2 linked regions of the Oreochromis niloticus genome follow. The protein of the gene in region 2 purifies or fractionates together with the protein of the main gene of each other region. This does not show direct contact. Links are inferred from orthologs where the notes say so. Each region holds a gene or a part of one and is shown on either strand. Other genes may lie near its edges.

What was found. The genes of interacting proteins can lie anywhere in the genome.
Region 1: the proteins of bbs7 (region 2) and bbs4 purify together in Homo sapiens (co-immunoprecipitation; 7 studies listed by BioGRID and IntAct, counting the BioPlex papers as one, with this or other methods). This does not show direct contact. The link is inferred for Oreochromis niloticus from reciprocal best matches to the Homo sapiens genes BBS7 and BBS4.

What each region holds. Positions count from the first base shown.
Region 1 is NC_031965.2:11,060,001-11,067,449, reverse strand, and holds the start of bbs4 (BBSome complex member BBS4), read left to right. Parts: upstream 1-4,392; 5' UTR 4,393-4,447; coding exon of another isoform or gene 4,448-4,507; intron 4,508-6,815; coding exon of another isoform or gene 6,816-6,858; intron 6,859-7,449. Other genes in the region: scamp2l (secretory carrier membrane protein 2, like), read left to right, coding at 163-283, 893-1,048.
Region 2 is NC_031966.2:11,820,132-11,827,783, reverse strand, and holds the start of bbs7 (BBSome complex member BBS7), read right to left. Parts: upstream 3,043-7,652; 5' UTR 2,618-3,042; coding exon 2,582-2,617; intron 2,485-2,581; coding exon 2,419-2,484; intron 1,742-2,418; coding exon 1,679-1,741; intron 1,605-1,678; coding exon 1,429-1,604; intron 1,340-1,428; coding exon 1,153-1,339; intron 1,066-1,152; coding exon 996-1,065; intron 917-995; coding exon 797-916; intron 239-796; coding exon 108-238; intron 1-107. Other genes in the region: tmem33 (transmembrane protein 33), read right to left, coding at 5,049-5,178, 5,379-5,462, 5,699-5,832, 6,271-6,338, 6,701-6,888, 7,000-7,094.

The DNA.
Region 1 (7,449 bases), on a different chromosome or scaffold from region 2:
TACAAACTTCATGCTTTACATTTGGTATCTGGTTGTTTGTGTATTTCTCTTTAATCCACAAAAAAAAAACTTTCAGTATAATATAATATACTGTATATAATAATTATAGAGAAAATGTGCAATTACACCTTTTTTCCTCTTGCATGTTTCTGGTTTTGACAGTGGATGGATAACATCAATCACCATGATCAGCAAGAAAAACCTGGCTGTGGCTGTGGTTATGATGGTAGTGGCTGGATTTTTCACTGTAAACTCTGTGCTGGCTATCATCCTGCTGAAAATGGTACGCAAAAGTAAAACCTCTGTTTACATATATTACTTTTAGAGGTAATCTCATTACTTTATTATGAACCTGTCAGGTTTAATATAATGTATCTTGATGAACTGAATAACCCTAAGCAAAGTATTTTAAACATGTTTTAGTTGTTGAGTTTTCTCATTTATATCTGGAAGCTACGTCAAAGACAAACTAAAAATCGCGGGGTGACAAAATGGCTTCAGAGGAAATATTCAAACCAAGTGTGTGTGCTGAATGCACTTACTCTACAGACTTTCCTCCATGTAGAAGTTCCTGGAGTGTCTTTTGGTTTATAAAGACGATAATTCATTAGAAAGTGGACATAATATTTCATCTTAATGCAAAAAGTGGGGGACAAACAAATACAACTCTTAAAACAATAATCTGTTCCTTGGCTCATAACTCTCCACTAGACATGTATTGTATTTTCAGATATCCTCCTCACTAACAGATGAATGAAACTGAACTCATGATCTCCTTTGTAGACATAAGAACCATGGCCTGAACCTTACAAGAACCAGCAGGTTAAACACGGTTTCATCATTTGATCGCCTGTCATTGTTTACAATTTTCTGTCTTTTCCTATCATCCCAGGTCCATTCTAAATACAGAAACACAGGTGCCAGCTTCACCAAGGCCCAGCAGGAGTTTTCACAAGGTGTCCTGACCAACCGAACTGTCCAAAATGCTGCAACCACCGCTGCTACCTCCGCTGCCCAGGGAGCCTTTGGCAGGAGCCAGGAAAATTAGTGATTTCTACAAGTTTTGTGTCTCTGGCTATTCTCTTTTCTGACCAGCATACCGGGCTAGCCACGTCCCAACATTATCCAGTTGGTGTAAAGGAATTTTTAGGGAAAAGGGCAAAAAGCAAGTAACTTATGAGTATATACCAAGTGGGGTGTCTCCATTCTCCATGTCCACCAAAAAACTAAATAATAAAAAAAAATGGTGTAATTTAGGTAGATGCGTAGCTAAAGACATAAAATCATCTTATAGGAATAGGACCCTACTTTCAGTTAAACTTTATTTGTATAGCATCTTTGATGAAGGACAGTGCAATTCAAAGAGCTTCACAGATGAACTGATAATGGGACGGCACATTAATTTAAAAAAAAAAAAGGTAAAAAGATTATAAAATGCAAAAATAAAATGGATGGAACTTGTAAAGACCTGCACAGATCTCATCAGCATATGTCATATTCATTTATGCTTTAGGGAAATGTCCAGTAGGAAATCTGAAGCTGGGGTTTAGATAGAGGGCAAGGTGAGGACCCCACACAAATAAAATTACAACATTTCATCACTGCATAGCTATTGAAAGCATTTAACAGAGTAGACTAAAGAGATACATGTGAGATTATCTGCAATACAAGAAACACTGATTTAAATCCAGTAATCCTTAAAGATCCCAGTAAAAAGTATCAGGATTTTTCCCTGCTAATGTAGGAATGACATACTGAGGCTTGAAATATAAACTCTTTGTCCAAGTTTGGATTCTCACTTGACATGAGAATGTTTTTTTCCATCTGTGAGCGATGGATCCACTAAATGTTTTTCGCATTACAGCAGCATGCAAAACCTTGCAGGATAACTGTCCTGACTATAAGTGCATTAATACCAATAATACACTTTATGCACAGTTGCCTTCCTCTCAGATGTCCTGTAAAAGTATAAATGATAATAAATGCATACTGTTACATTACTGTGCAGTTTGAACTTTGCTCTCCAAATTTGATGTTTTGATGTGTATATGACAATAGGATGAGCTGCTGATTAATGAAGGTGATGGGATAAAGAGGTCATTTGTACTGTTTTAATCTGTTTACTGATTTTTTTTTTTTTTAATGAAGTGAGGCTTAAAGCTGTTCTTGAAGCAAATGAAGATGTTACATTTTAATTCATGTTAAGAAAACTTGGCATAATACAGAGACTTGCAGTGATTAAAATAAAAGGGGGGGTACGGGTTTATTCATGTAAAGTTATTGAAAGTATAGAATTTGAATGTATTTACATGAAAAGTGCATTAATGAGTAGAAAGAACAATATTTTTGACTTTGTGCCCATGTTAGTTTTACTACATGTTAACTTAATTTCCTGTTTTTTCTAGCTGCACCTACTTGGAATTAGGTTTTAGTGTTTTCATCCCTTTCTCTGTGTGTGTGTGACTGTGTGTGTGTGTGTGTGTGTGTGTGTAAAGTATATAAATACTGTATACTCCTGATCTGATGTTTGTACCTCAGTGCCTTTAAACAGTAACATACAAATCTTTGTGTGAGGATTCAAGTTCAAGGCTGTTAATTCTCTTTTTTTTATCTGTAGCCTGTGGAACAACTGGTGAAGTTTTCTTGTGATCAGAATGTGTTAAGATTATGTAAATATCGGTGACTTATTTAAACATATTTACTGCTGGGGTATGCATTGGAAATCTTAACATTCAATAAACTGTACTGTCTATAAAATTCTGAATTGAAGTCTTGGAAGTGGTCTTGTTAGAAGCGTATTATTATCTATCAAAAGTGGTCCAAGGAAGGAACAGTGGTGAACCAGCGACAGGGTTATGGGCTGTCCTGTGTGGTCCGATCCAACAGGCGAGCTACTATAGCTCAAATTGCCCAAAATATTTAAACGTGGTTCTCATAGAAAGGTGTGAGAATGTCAGTGTCCATGCTGACCCCCTTCCTCTGCTGAACTTCAGCCCAACTTACAGGATTTAAAGAGTCTGTTACTAACATCAACTGATCTTTTATTACAGCACATCTTCATGGGTCTAGTGGGATCCATGCCTCGACAGAAAAAGGGGTGACCAACATAATAATAGGTAGCTGGTCATAACAGCATGCCTAATCAGTGTACATTCTGCCTAATAGACAATGTCATTCTGGCTCATTCACACAAGTTTTAACACATCGCCACAATCTTCCCAGGAGTGGATGTCAGCAAATTTATTTTATTGCAGTGTTTACACACAAGAACTACATTTCAACGTTAAAGTTTATTACAGTACATTTATTAAACAAATATGACTTGCTTTAAGGGTTGCCAGGAGGAATTCTTGGTCTTGAAGAAGAACATGGCAGCACAGCTCTTAGGAGAGATCAGCACAAAACACCTTATACTAAGGAAGGGTGATGATTTGGCCTTGTTTTGCAGCTATGGGATCTGGGCACCTTGCAGTCACTAAGTTAGCCATGAACTCCTCTGTATACCAAAAGAGTCTATAAAAGTGATGATACACAACAGGACACAGATCCCAAGCACAGCATCAATTCTATGAAAAGAAAAGATTGCAATGGCCCGGTCAAAGTCCAGACCTCAACCTGACTGAAATGCTGTGCATAAACACATATCTGCAAACCTCAATGAGCTAAAGAAATGCTGTAAAGAAGAGTGGGCCAAAATTCCTCTGCAATGATTTGAAAGACTGATAAAGTCATACAGAAAATTATTAGTTTAAGTTCTTGCTGCTAAGGGTGATTTTACAAGCTACTGAATCATGTGGTGTACTTATTTATTAAGACTACATAGAATCCTATAGAGTGAAAAAGGTGAAAGATTGCAAATTCGAAACATGAAAAAGCCACAATTCTGGTGTTTGTGTGCCCTGTTTGCATTACTAGATGTATTTTGTTTATAAGCAAAGGAAAAATCTAAAACACACAGAAATATATGGTCGGATTCTGTATACTACACTGACCGTCTTTACTGAGAGACACACATAACCATGGACCTATGATCTCTTGTCACATCCACTGGCAGACCCAACATCTATATATGACCACGTGACTGTTAGAGTTTGCCGACAGTGACGCAGACTGAGAGTAAAGTCAGTCTTAATGGACATCTACCCTGTTAAAGGTGTTGGGAGAAAAATAAAATAAAATAAATAAATAACCTGAACTATAGCTGTGTTTTTGTTTGCGAATGAAACCGAAAATCAGCATTTCATTTTTTTTCTTGAATGATTAATTTTGTGTAGCTAAGCTAAAGTCAATAAGTAGAGGAAGGGGTTGGCTAATGCATTTAATGTGACGTGGCTTTATCAGTAAAAATGGTTCTTAAACCCTTTTTTTGTAAATAAAGTTTTTTTCTTTAATCGGTCCCAGAGCACAAATCCAACCAGCTACGTGTCTGCGCGCCATTGACGTATCCATGGCAACAGCTTCTAGTGTTGATCATCCCAAGATGGCGGACGCGGAAACAACCGCAACGGTGAGTGCGATGCGAGCTGCTCCTCCTTTTCTTGAATAAACACAAACTTGACTCGAAATACAATGAAAGTGTGACACTTCGCGAGAAAGCCCGACTCCAGGTTTTGCCACACGCTTTCTATAACGCTGACTTGAACGTTAGTTAGCTAGGTGGCTAGCCTATTCTAAGTCGGCGCTAAGTTGATTAAGCTGCAGCTAAAGGCAACTTGCGAGACTAATCTCACTCACTCAAGGGCAAATTTAAACCTTAACACTGACAGCTGTAGCTGTGGCAGGGTTGCTGTGGACTGTTTGGGAAGCTTTAGCCCACCCTTAATATACGATAACGTAGAAAACGTTATCAAGCAGCTTTTCATTAACCGGCTTACCACCAATCGCAGTTCTATTATCGCTGTGGCACAATAGCTTTCAGCGTGTAATGAAATGTAGAGAATATCAATAAACTGCTAAGCATCAGCAACCACATCCAAAACAATCCACAAGTGAGGTCAAATATGGGAAGAAAAATATGTGATGCGAGAAGAACTGCGCATGCGTGCATCTACCTGTACATTTCGAAGATAGCAAATGTTACTGTTGTTGCAGTCACTGAACAGAGCATACACAGGAGCACGTTACATTGCAAAAGTTTACCGCTACATCTCAAAAATTTGAATTAAATGTATTCATTTAATATATCTGTCCATTCATCCTTTCATTTAATGGTTATTCGGGATGTGGTGGCAGCAGTCTGGCAGAGACCCCCAAACAGCCCTCTCCCAAGTCACCTCCTCCAGCTGTTCTGGAGGAACACTGAAAAGAGAGAGCAGTCGAGAGACATAATCTCTCCAGTATGTTTTGGTTATGCCTAGAAATTCTGTCCATAGAAGTTATAAACTGAATTGGTGACAAATAGGCAGCTCTTTGTCACCAAGTCTATCCAACCCTACACATTATATATACATTTTTTTATGGTGTATGGAGGGAGGAAGATGACATGTGAGCTTGTGCAGAGCAGTTCAATTCATTCTTTATCTAGCAAAGGCATATACAATTAGAATCAGCTGTAGTCCTGGAGTAGGACATGCAGTACACCATAGACTGGCAGTAGATCTGCATGCTTCTACTCTTTGATTGGGAAATAGTTTTTTTTCCTCTCTCTGTTCATTAGGTCAACACACATGTCATTCAGCTTGTTGGCCCACATTTCCACACAGCCTTTTATCAGTTTTTGAGTGGACAGGATTTTCTGTATTTTGGTGAGGGCTGCCCAAGGATTATTTTACTGTGTACCACACAGTCATGTGAAAAGTCATGTGTTTTTGCAGGACTCTGTGCAGTGCTCTGAGAAACCAAGTACACCCCATGATTCAATAGCCTGTAGAGGTACCATGTAAAAGCAATAACTTGTAATAATTATTAGTAATACTTGTTTGCATGACTTTATCTTCACAAAGTTGCTTCACTTCATTAAGGTTTGTGAGCATTTGTTTATGCACAGTTCTCTTAAGGTCCTGGCAGAGCATTTCAGTCAGGTTTTGGTGTGGACTTTAACTGGACAATTGCAACACCTTGATTGTTTTCTTTTTCAGCCATTCTCTTGCACTTTAGTATGCAGGAGAGTTCGTGATCGACTCAATAACATGGTGCTCAGGCCCTGTGGCTACAAAACACACCCATGGTATTGGTATGAGGTGTTTGTGCTGATATGCTGTGTTGATCTTTACCATACACAGCGCTGTGCATCATGACCAAAGATCTGTACTTTGATCTCATCTGTCCAGTGGACATTTTTCAGAACTTTTGGAGTTTGGTTCAAACCTAAGCTGTGATGCCAGGCTTTCTCCTGGCAATCCTACCAGAAAAGCCATAATTGTTTTTTCTAATTGTGCTGTCATGAACTTTAAATTGTAACATGCAAACTGAGGCCTTTAGAGTCTGAGATGTAGTGCTTGGATTTTTTTTCTGCATTTTCTCTGAGCAGTAAGCATCTGACCTTGGGGTGATTTTGAAGGGACGCCCACTTCTGGGAAGGTTGTTGCATTGTGTTAAAACACACCTGTTTGCTCCAAACCAGCAAACTAAAAGAAAACATCATCTTTGATAGAGGTGCTCACACTTGCCGATGATCAGTTAATTAAGTGCATCTGATTGGCTGGCTGCTACTGACCTTCTTAATTCATATAGAAGAAGTAAGGATCGATGTAGCTTTTCACAGGTCTGCATAGAGTCCTGAGAGTCCTGAGGAAGCTTTTCTTTTTCACTTGACTTTCAGACTCCTGTTTGCTGTTATTTATTTTTCTGCTTGTGTTGTTTGTCACATATTTCAGCTCCCTGTTGCTACTGAACCCAAGAAACGTCGGGCGCCTAAAGGTACAGTGAAAGTACTGCAGGTCATGTTCTGAAATTAATTGAATTATTTTCATGTCGTTGTGTGACATTCATTTTTTTAAAATTCATTTCTAAAAGTTGGTTAAGTGTTGATAACTGAAACTAAAGGTTTTGGAAGTGAACGGCCTGCAGAGGTCACCCTCACCCTTCTGTTTGTTTCCGCTGTAAGGAACAGGCTGTGGCTACATTATGCTGCTGAGCCATTTTCCAGATATTTCTCTGTGTAGAAAATGTCTGGTGATCATTAGAGGATGTTTTGTCATCATTATTGAAGCCTAATGTGCCATTAAATAGTTTATACTTCTGCCCACAGATATTTTGTCTTTTTTTCTTTTATAGTGCTTTGTAATAATAATAATAATCAGAGCTACTGAGAATTGCATCTCTGTGGAAGCAGTTGAATACATGCTATGATGTGGTAATGATAATTTTTATTTAGCATGCAAACCCTTTCCTGGGTTGTACTTAATATGATTCGAAGACACACCCCTGTTCTAACTAAGTTAAAAAAAACAGAAAGTAAAGATTGGATTTTAGGAGACGAATACACATACACCAATGGGAGCAGACTTG
Region 2 (7,652 bases):
CATTAATATATGTAAATTAAGCAACAACTATTCAAAGAACTTTAGGTTTGTAACAGTTACAAAAATACAACTGTAATTCTATGGAGAGTGAATTTTTAATCACTTACATGCTCAAAGCGTAATGTCGGTTCATTAGAGCTGTCAAAGCCGTAGACCTCAACCGTCCCATCATCCCTCCCCACCAGGATATCACTCACTCCGTCACCAATAATATCATAGGTGTCAATGCAAAGAATTCCTGGGAGACAGAAAGCGTGATCGTTTTGCCAGAGGTTAAAAAATGCATAAGTTAGTATGCATGAGTATCAGTTTAAACACTGTGGAAACATAGACTGTGTATAAAATGAGATCAGATAGATCTGTTTGAGAAACAAATTGTTACTGCACGCCCATGCAGCAGACCAGTGGTCCCCAACCCCCGGGCCTCGGACCGGTACTGGTCTGTGAGTCGTTTGGTACCGGGCCGCGAGAGTTGAGGCTCAGGTGTGAAATGTATGGTTTTCAGGGTTTTTATCGGTTTTCAGTGTTATTTTGTTATCGTTAACTCGGTTTTCCTGGGTCTTTTCACTTGTGTTATGAATAAATCTTCTTTTTTTCGGTACCGGTACTAGTTTTATTTTGTTGTATTTATCCGCGACACCTTAAAGGCCGGTCTGTGAAAATATTGTCAGGCATAAACCAGTCCGTGGCGCAAAAAAGGTTGGGGACCGCTGCAGTAGACTCTGCTTTATGACTGCTTTGACTCAGAGCAATCACCCTCTGTTGGACAGTAAAAATATTGCATTTCTGTACATACCTCCTTTCTTTTTGTCATTGTCAATTTCCCATTTGGTCGCAGCTGAATGTTCACCAATCTCAACCAATCCTATTTTTCCATCTGTGGTTCCATAGAGAATTTCCTCTCCTAAAGAGAAATCTAAGAAATTAAGTTCAAACTGGTACATATAAAGCAACTTCATGCTTTATAGTTAAAGTAAACAAAGAAATCAGCTTGCCTTTATCTTTATACAGTTCCAACACAGAAGGAGGGCCAGGAACTTCTATGTCATATGCAAGTTCAGATCTCTACATACAAAACCATAAAACAATTGGCATGTCTCATCTGACAAAGAGCAACTCAAAATCAGAACAGTAAATGAGAGCTCAGTTTACCTGCAAGACTCTGAGCACTCGATCTTGGCATGCCAGGACTGGGACGAGGTGAGTGAGGTTTTCTGTGGACAAGCATGTGATGTCATTGATCTTGTCTCCAGAGAGGTAGTAGTCCTGATCTTTGCAGTCACAGTAGTGGTTGTAGATGTAACTTGCGCACACAAAAAGGTCGGAGCCTGACACATGCCTGGAAAAGACCCAGTGGGGTAAAGATGACACAGCTCTGCACAGCTCAATCGTGTAATGTAAATCAAAATGAAAAAACATAGTTCCTACATTGCATTAATGCTCTCAGTTAGGTTGGCTTCAAAAGTGAGGAACTGTTTGCCTTTCTTGGTGAATCCTCGGACCTGAGAACCAGAGCAGACAAAGATCTTTTCCTGGGGAGTTCCCGCAGCACCTCCAAGGTCCATTCGGGCTATCTTCTGCCCAGGAAGTGTTTTAAAGACGGGCTGAAACAAAGAGTCAAAAGTCTTACAAGCTGTTTGTTTCAAATCTCTGTGATGACAGGAAAATATTTACTCACCACTGCTTCCCCCTTCTTGATACCAAAACATGTGAGTATTCCATCGTGATCAGCAATAGCAACCTGAAACATGAGGAGACACCAATCGAGCACTCTAAGATTTACCAATTTCATTTTTTAGTTTAATTAATGATTGTAGAAAAGGCAAGGAATCACATCTAGAAGATAAGCCCAGTGTCAAAAGAGACCTTACATATACTATAATTTGTTTTGACCAAGCACTGATCCCAAATGGTGATATGACCTTTGAGGTTTACCCAAAATGCACTTTTTAAAGTTTTCTACAATGAACTAATAGAAAACATGTTTAATTAAAGCCTGCTGGAAAAATGGTGTTTAAATATTGTTTTGAGGCAAAGTCTATTAATTTTTATAGTGTTTTTTATGAAATTTGACTGACTATACAAGCAGTTTACATGTCCCATTGAAAACTGCCTCTTTCAATTAAACTGAAACTTCAAAACAACTGCCCAAATTACTACACAGCGTGACAAGTCTTACTTATTGAAGGGCTCTGGTAAAGCAATTATTTATCAAAAATCAATGTCATTGGTTTTGATTTCTTACCATCTAATAAACAAAATTAGTATTACAGTTAAATAAACTAAAACCCAAACAAGGTTACATTTTTTAAACATCTGCAGTCTTCAGCAAAAGCAGGAAAACAATCTGGATTTAGTCAGAAAACAAGAAAACACATTTTAATTAATTTAGGTTACTGTATGGCTCATAAACGATACCTTTTGGGTTGCCTTTTTTCCCAGTGGAGGAAGAAGCCTCATAGTTTTCTGAGATGTCACGCCAACCTGAGAGGTAGAATGGAGGGGAACTTTTACTCCTAATATTAATAAAAGAAAAAGAAAAAAAGACAGCAGAAACCCGACGTGGTCTGCTTTGTTTTACCTGAATGTAATCAACTCTATTGAGGCGAAGATCCATCTTCTTTCTCTACTGTGTTTCAACTTAAGTAGAAACAAAAATCTGCAAATAGTCCAAGAAGGTTATTCAGACATTACTCTTGCCCCATAGCCGTCCGTTACCATTAACATTTTGTCAGAAAAACGTTCAACCCAATTCCAAGACGATAACGATGCTAGCTGAGACTGGGATTATCTAAAGCAAGTGGATTAGCTCAACGTGCTAGCTTTAGCTATCGGAGCTAACTGGTACTGGCACGCAGTCTTCCTCAAAGACCGAAAATCATCTTTAAAAAAGACACGAAGGAAGTCGATGTGTGTAGATGTGAGCGCGGATAAATTTTCATTAAACGCTGATATCAGGTATAAACGATCTGTGCAGCATTTTCAGACTTGAAGAGGGCAGTTGCCGTTGCTAATGGCAACGTTGCAGGCTGTAACAAAACTGCAATTCCACTGGTTGAAAGGGAGTAACAGACATTGAAGCTGTGTTCTGATTGGCTAACTCATTCACGTTTTCCACCCTGTGCGTCATGTCACTTCTACAGCTGGCAGAAAATACAATAATACATGAAAGACAAAAAGAGAAATGAAACATAAAAGCAGCAAATAATGACCATAATCTTTTTAAAAGTGGCCAAAGCGTGCCATTTTGCCAGTAATGTGAAAAATCCCATTAGCCTTTTGAATTTTCAAAGCTTTGGAAACAACTGATTAGTTTTTACTAAAGGATCTGTACCAACTTTTACTCTTTCTCTATTTTTGGGAAATACAAAATTGACTACTTATCCAGACCCTCTTGGCACCTCTCATTTTTAAACATAAAACACCATTTAATTTTCGTGACACATTTATTATGCCAATGTTGAAGGTGCTTAAAAGTCATAGTCATATTTCTTTATACACACCATTAATAAACACAGTCCTTTAGCTACACAAATGCTGGCACATACTGTAGAGAAACTCAAATTTGGTTTTAGTGATGGTATCTTGTCAGAGTTGTCTTGAAAATTGTCTTCTTTCTTGTGTTTTCAGATGACTAACTGGTGTTGTCAAAAGTAATCAGGGAAGAATACGTGTCTGAACTTAAATGGACAGAATAAGCTCTTTTTACTCTCCCACATAAATACCTGTTGCATCATAAAATCAAAGAACTCTTATTTAAAATGATACATAAATATCACACATTATTTATTTTTTTGGCAAATATATCCCAGATAAATGGCATGCTGTGTGTCTATAAGATTTATTTGATATGTATGTGTAAAATTGTTTTTAGGTTTAATTGGAAACCACTTAAAAACAATGTACTCATAGGGTATGAACAATTATTCACTAACTCACATTTCTCTAGTAAGAAACAATATACATTAACACTGTAATTATCTGTGATAAATACTTTTATATTAGATCTATGCTTTGAATAAATATTAAAAACAGGCATAAATAAATCCTTATTAGGATTTGTTCATATCGAAGTCAACTATTATAATGCAAGAACTTATTGGTACCAAACCCAATTAGCATTCTTCAACACTGTGTTTGTTTAGGAGATAACTTTATTGTCATTATAAAAATGTGGTTTGTCTGTAGGCAAGTAAACACAATTAACATGGCAGGGAAAGAAAAACATACCAGAGCATGCATTAAGCAAGAAACCTATAGCCTAATAAGAAATGAATGACTCAAAATCAAAACAGCTTTTAAACTGAGAAATGAGGTCAGAGTGCATTCATAAGCATGGCATGCTTTCTGCAAGTTATTCCATTTGTGAATCATACAGCAGAACATCTGGTACCTTAAAATATCCTATAAAATACAGCAGATTATTTTCTCAGTTTAACATCCATTTGACATCATAGCTACATAAGATTTTGCATGTTGCTGAAATGTGAGCCAATGGCATTGATAGAATACATTTAATAATTAGGCTTTAGACAAATAAGAGCATTGGATGCTTTACAAATCAGACATAGTTAGAACCTGAAAAAGTACAATATGATTATTTAAAGAAATGATCAGAATCCATTGTTTATAAACACATGTTCATTAATTTACTAATCTCAGAATGTTAATGTTTCATTATATAATAAGTGATTTTAATGAATAAATAAGACATGAAAGGAAAGAATGATAACAGCCGATAAACGGAACACAGCTGATGTCAAGCTAATGTGCTCAGCCCATCGAAGGTAACAGAACAACAGGATGTCCACCGCTTCAATGAGGTCACATTAAAAGGATGGAAAATCAAATATCAGCATGAGCCTTCAGTGCATTACTGGCTGGTCTTCAGCTGCACTCAGATACACAAAAATTGGAGCACAGACTGTAAAGTTGACATTCAAAAAAACGGTTCCTTCCATTGATGGCAAAGTCTTTCCCCATCGAAGTTAAGTCACATCGTACATCTTACTGAAAAACAACACATGAGGAAAACAAATTTAGTGTAATCAAACCCCCGTGGGGGCGAGGCGGCTGATAAAGGCGATACTGCTGAGGCACATCCTCCTGAAGAAGGCAGGGCAGGCAGGCTTCATGATGAAATGCTCCAAAAGAATTCGCAGCTCGGTGAACAAGGTGCTGAGACAGAAAGAAAAGTACTTCACTCGGATTGTATTGAAAGTAAATCTAATCTAATCTTTGTACCTTCTGAATAGCAGGGCATGAAAACTCTAAACAGAAGGGCCATGTCCTGGGTTGAACCCCAGAGCCTCTTGCTGTGAAGCAACAGCGCAACACCATGTTGCTATGTGACAATAACAGATAATTCAAAATCTTACCGGCAATATGGATTTCTTCTGGATGTGTAGCGCAGAGTGAGGAATCGGTAATAAATGAAAGGCAGCAATAGGCTCCCCTGGCCGCTGTTGACAAAATATTATTGACATGAACATGTGAAAACTGGACACTCTGTATTAAGATTACAAAGAAGGGCTTGCATTTGTTGAGATAAAACTGATACATATTTATGAGATTAACACAACAACAACAACAAAACAATCACTGCCAGTAATCAATATTAACATATCACTAGATTAGGGATGCTACAATGGGTCTTCACAAAAGAAATCCTTCACAAAAGAAACAGTTGTACGCATACCTGAACAGCATAAAAATAGTTGCTGGCATCAAGAAGATCTCATTACAGGCAATAAACTTCAGGATATTCTGCTGATTAGATGTCAGTTTGTCCAGGAGGCCCCGGATAAACATCATGCTGTTTGGGCCCATGGTCTAAAAGAAACAAAAAATAGTCACAAAGTGAAATGAAAGATTTGGCAAATTAACATTTTGAAAGGAGCAGTGGGAGCAAGAAGTAAAAGGTAAAGGAAAACACATTAGAAATCATTAGCTTCCAGATTTTAAGTTGTGTCTAAATGGTACATTATACTTTCATAGTTCCATTTAACTGTAACAGTTAACTATAAAGTTCTTTACGATGTGTTTCTAATTTACCTAATCTATCTCAAACACGCACACACACACCAACAGGAGCAGAGCAGCCATGTAAAGCGCTGCTCTGTTGCCATTGTGTGAATCCAACCACAAACCTTCTCTGCTGCCTCAGACATGGTGGTCTGGCTGGTACTAATATCCCAGCTTGTGGCTAAATAATGTTTAAACTGATTTCACAGTAATTTTCAATAAGTCACTGTGGTGACTCATACTTACATCAAGAACTTTCTTTGTGTAGGTAGTTGCGTGAAGCAAGGAAAAAAGAAAAACTGGAAAGATGCTCACTGGACAAGAAGGTTAAGGTTAAATAACAGAAAAGAACAACTTCCTCCTAAATAATACAATAGTAAGGGAGCATGATTGCACCTATGGAAAAACTAAATCTTTCACTGCTAAGACTAATTGATTTGTAATACTGCAGGTCTGAATCCTATTGAATGTCTCAAAACGAACCCTTTAAGGAATCCTATCAGACTGTCTTTGGAAAAAAACTGCAGCAACAAGTAAATAGTGAATCACTGTCCAACTATAACAGTGAAATAGTGTTTCATTATTGTTTAAAACTAAAAAAACAAAACACACAATGTATGTAGCAATGCTATCATCTCCATTTAAACTTGCAGACTTGCTCACAATGAAAGGATACTTGTAATGGGGTAGGAGTTGACCAGGATGAGTGAGTAGAGCAGGTAATGACAGCTGTCCTCCTGCAGAGCCTGGGCCAAGAAAGCTCTGCTCAGCTGAAAGCGTGGAAGCCTCTGGTGTAAGCGAAGAGCACTGGTGAGGGCATTCGCTAACAACGCTCTCTGATAGAAGTTAGCTGCTGCATAAGGTCTGAAATATACAAGCAGTGACAAACACTCAAATGCTGATTTAGATTGGTTTATAACTACTTTTAAAGCTAATCAACATTTATAATTAGATGATTTTCCACAGTGAACTCACCCCAAAACTGGTAGAATGAACATTACAGAGCAATAGACAGTGAAGAGTCGTGACAGCCACATTGCAGTTTCCAGCTTGTTGCTCATCAGAAATTGCTGCAGAGACACAAAGATGGTTAACATTAAACCCAACCAATCCCTTGTTCTTGTCTCCACTCTTCTCATATATACTGGTAGCAGATTTACTGACTTTAAACTTACACTCAGGTTCTCTCAGTGGCTAGCATACAAAATTCATCCAAACTAAAAAGCATCTTAATGCAATCTACAAGTTAATTTTACCGCCTTGCCTTCAAAAGTCAGGGGGCAGCTGCAACTCATCCTGCTCATCCTCATTCAACTGATGTTGCTCAAGTGAATGATTGGTAGCACATGTCATCCAACTCTTGCAAACAGCACTGAAATACATGCCACACATGCCTACTCTACTTGCCCCCTAAGATAAACACACACGTTTGGGTGTCAAAATTACAGATTTGGGATGAAATCATTCCAATTATATGTAGAAAATAAAACAATCTAGGGCTAAAGCACTCAAATAAATAATCCCAATTAAAAAAAAAAGTAAACTGTTCAGTAAAAAAAACTATGCATAGCACATCCATTTTGTAAGGGCCTCAAGATATCTTAAATCTTAGCAAAACTGTTCCCAAT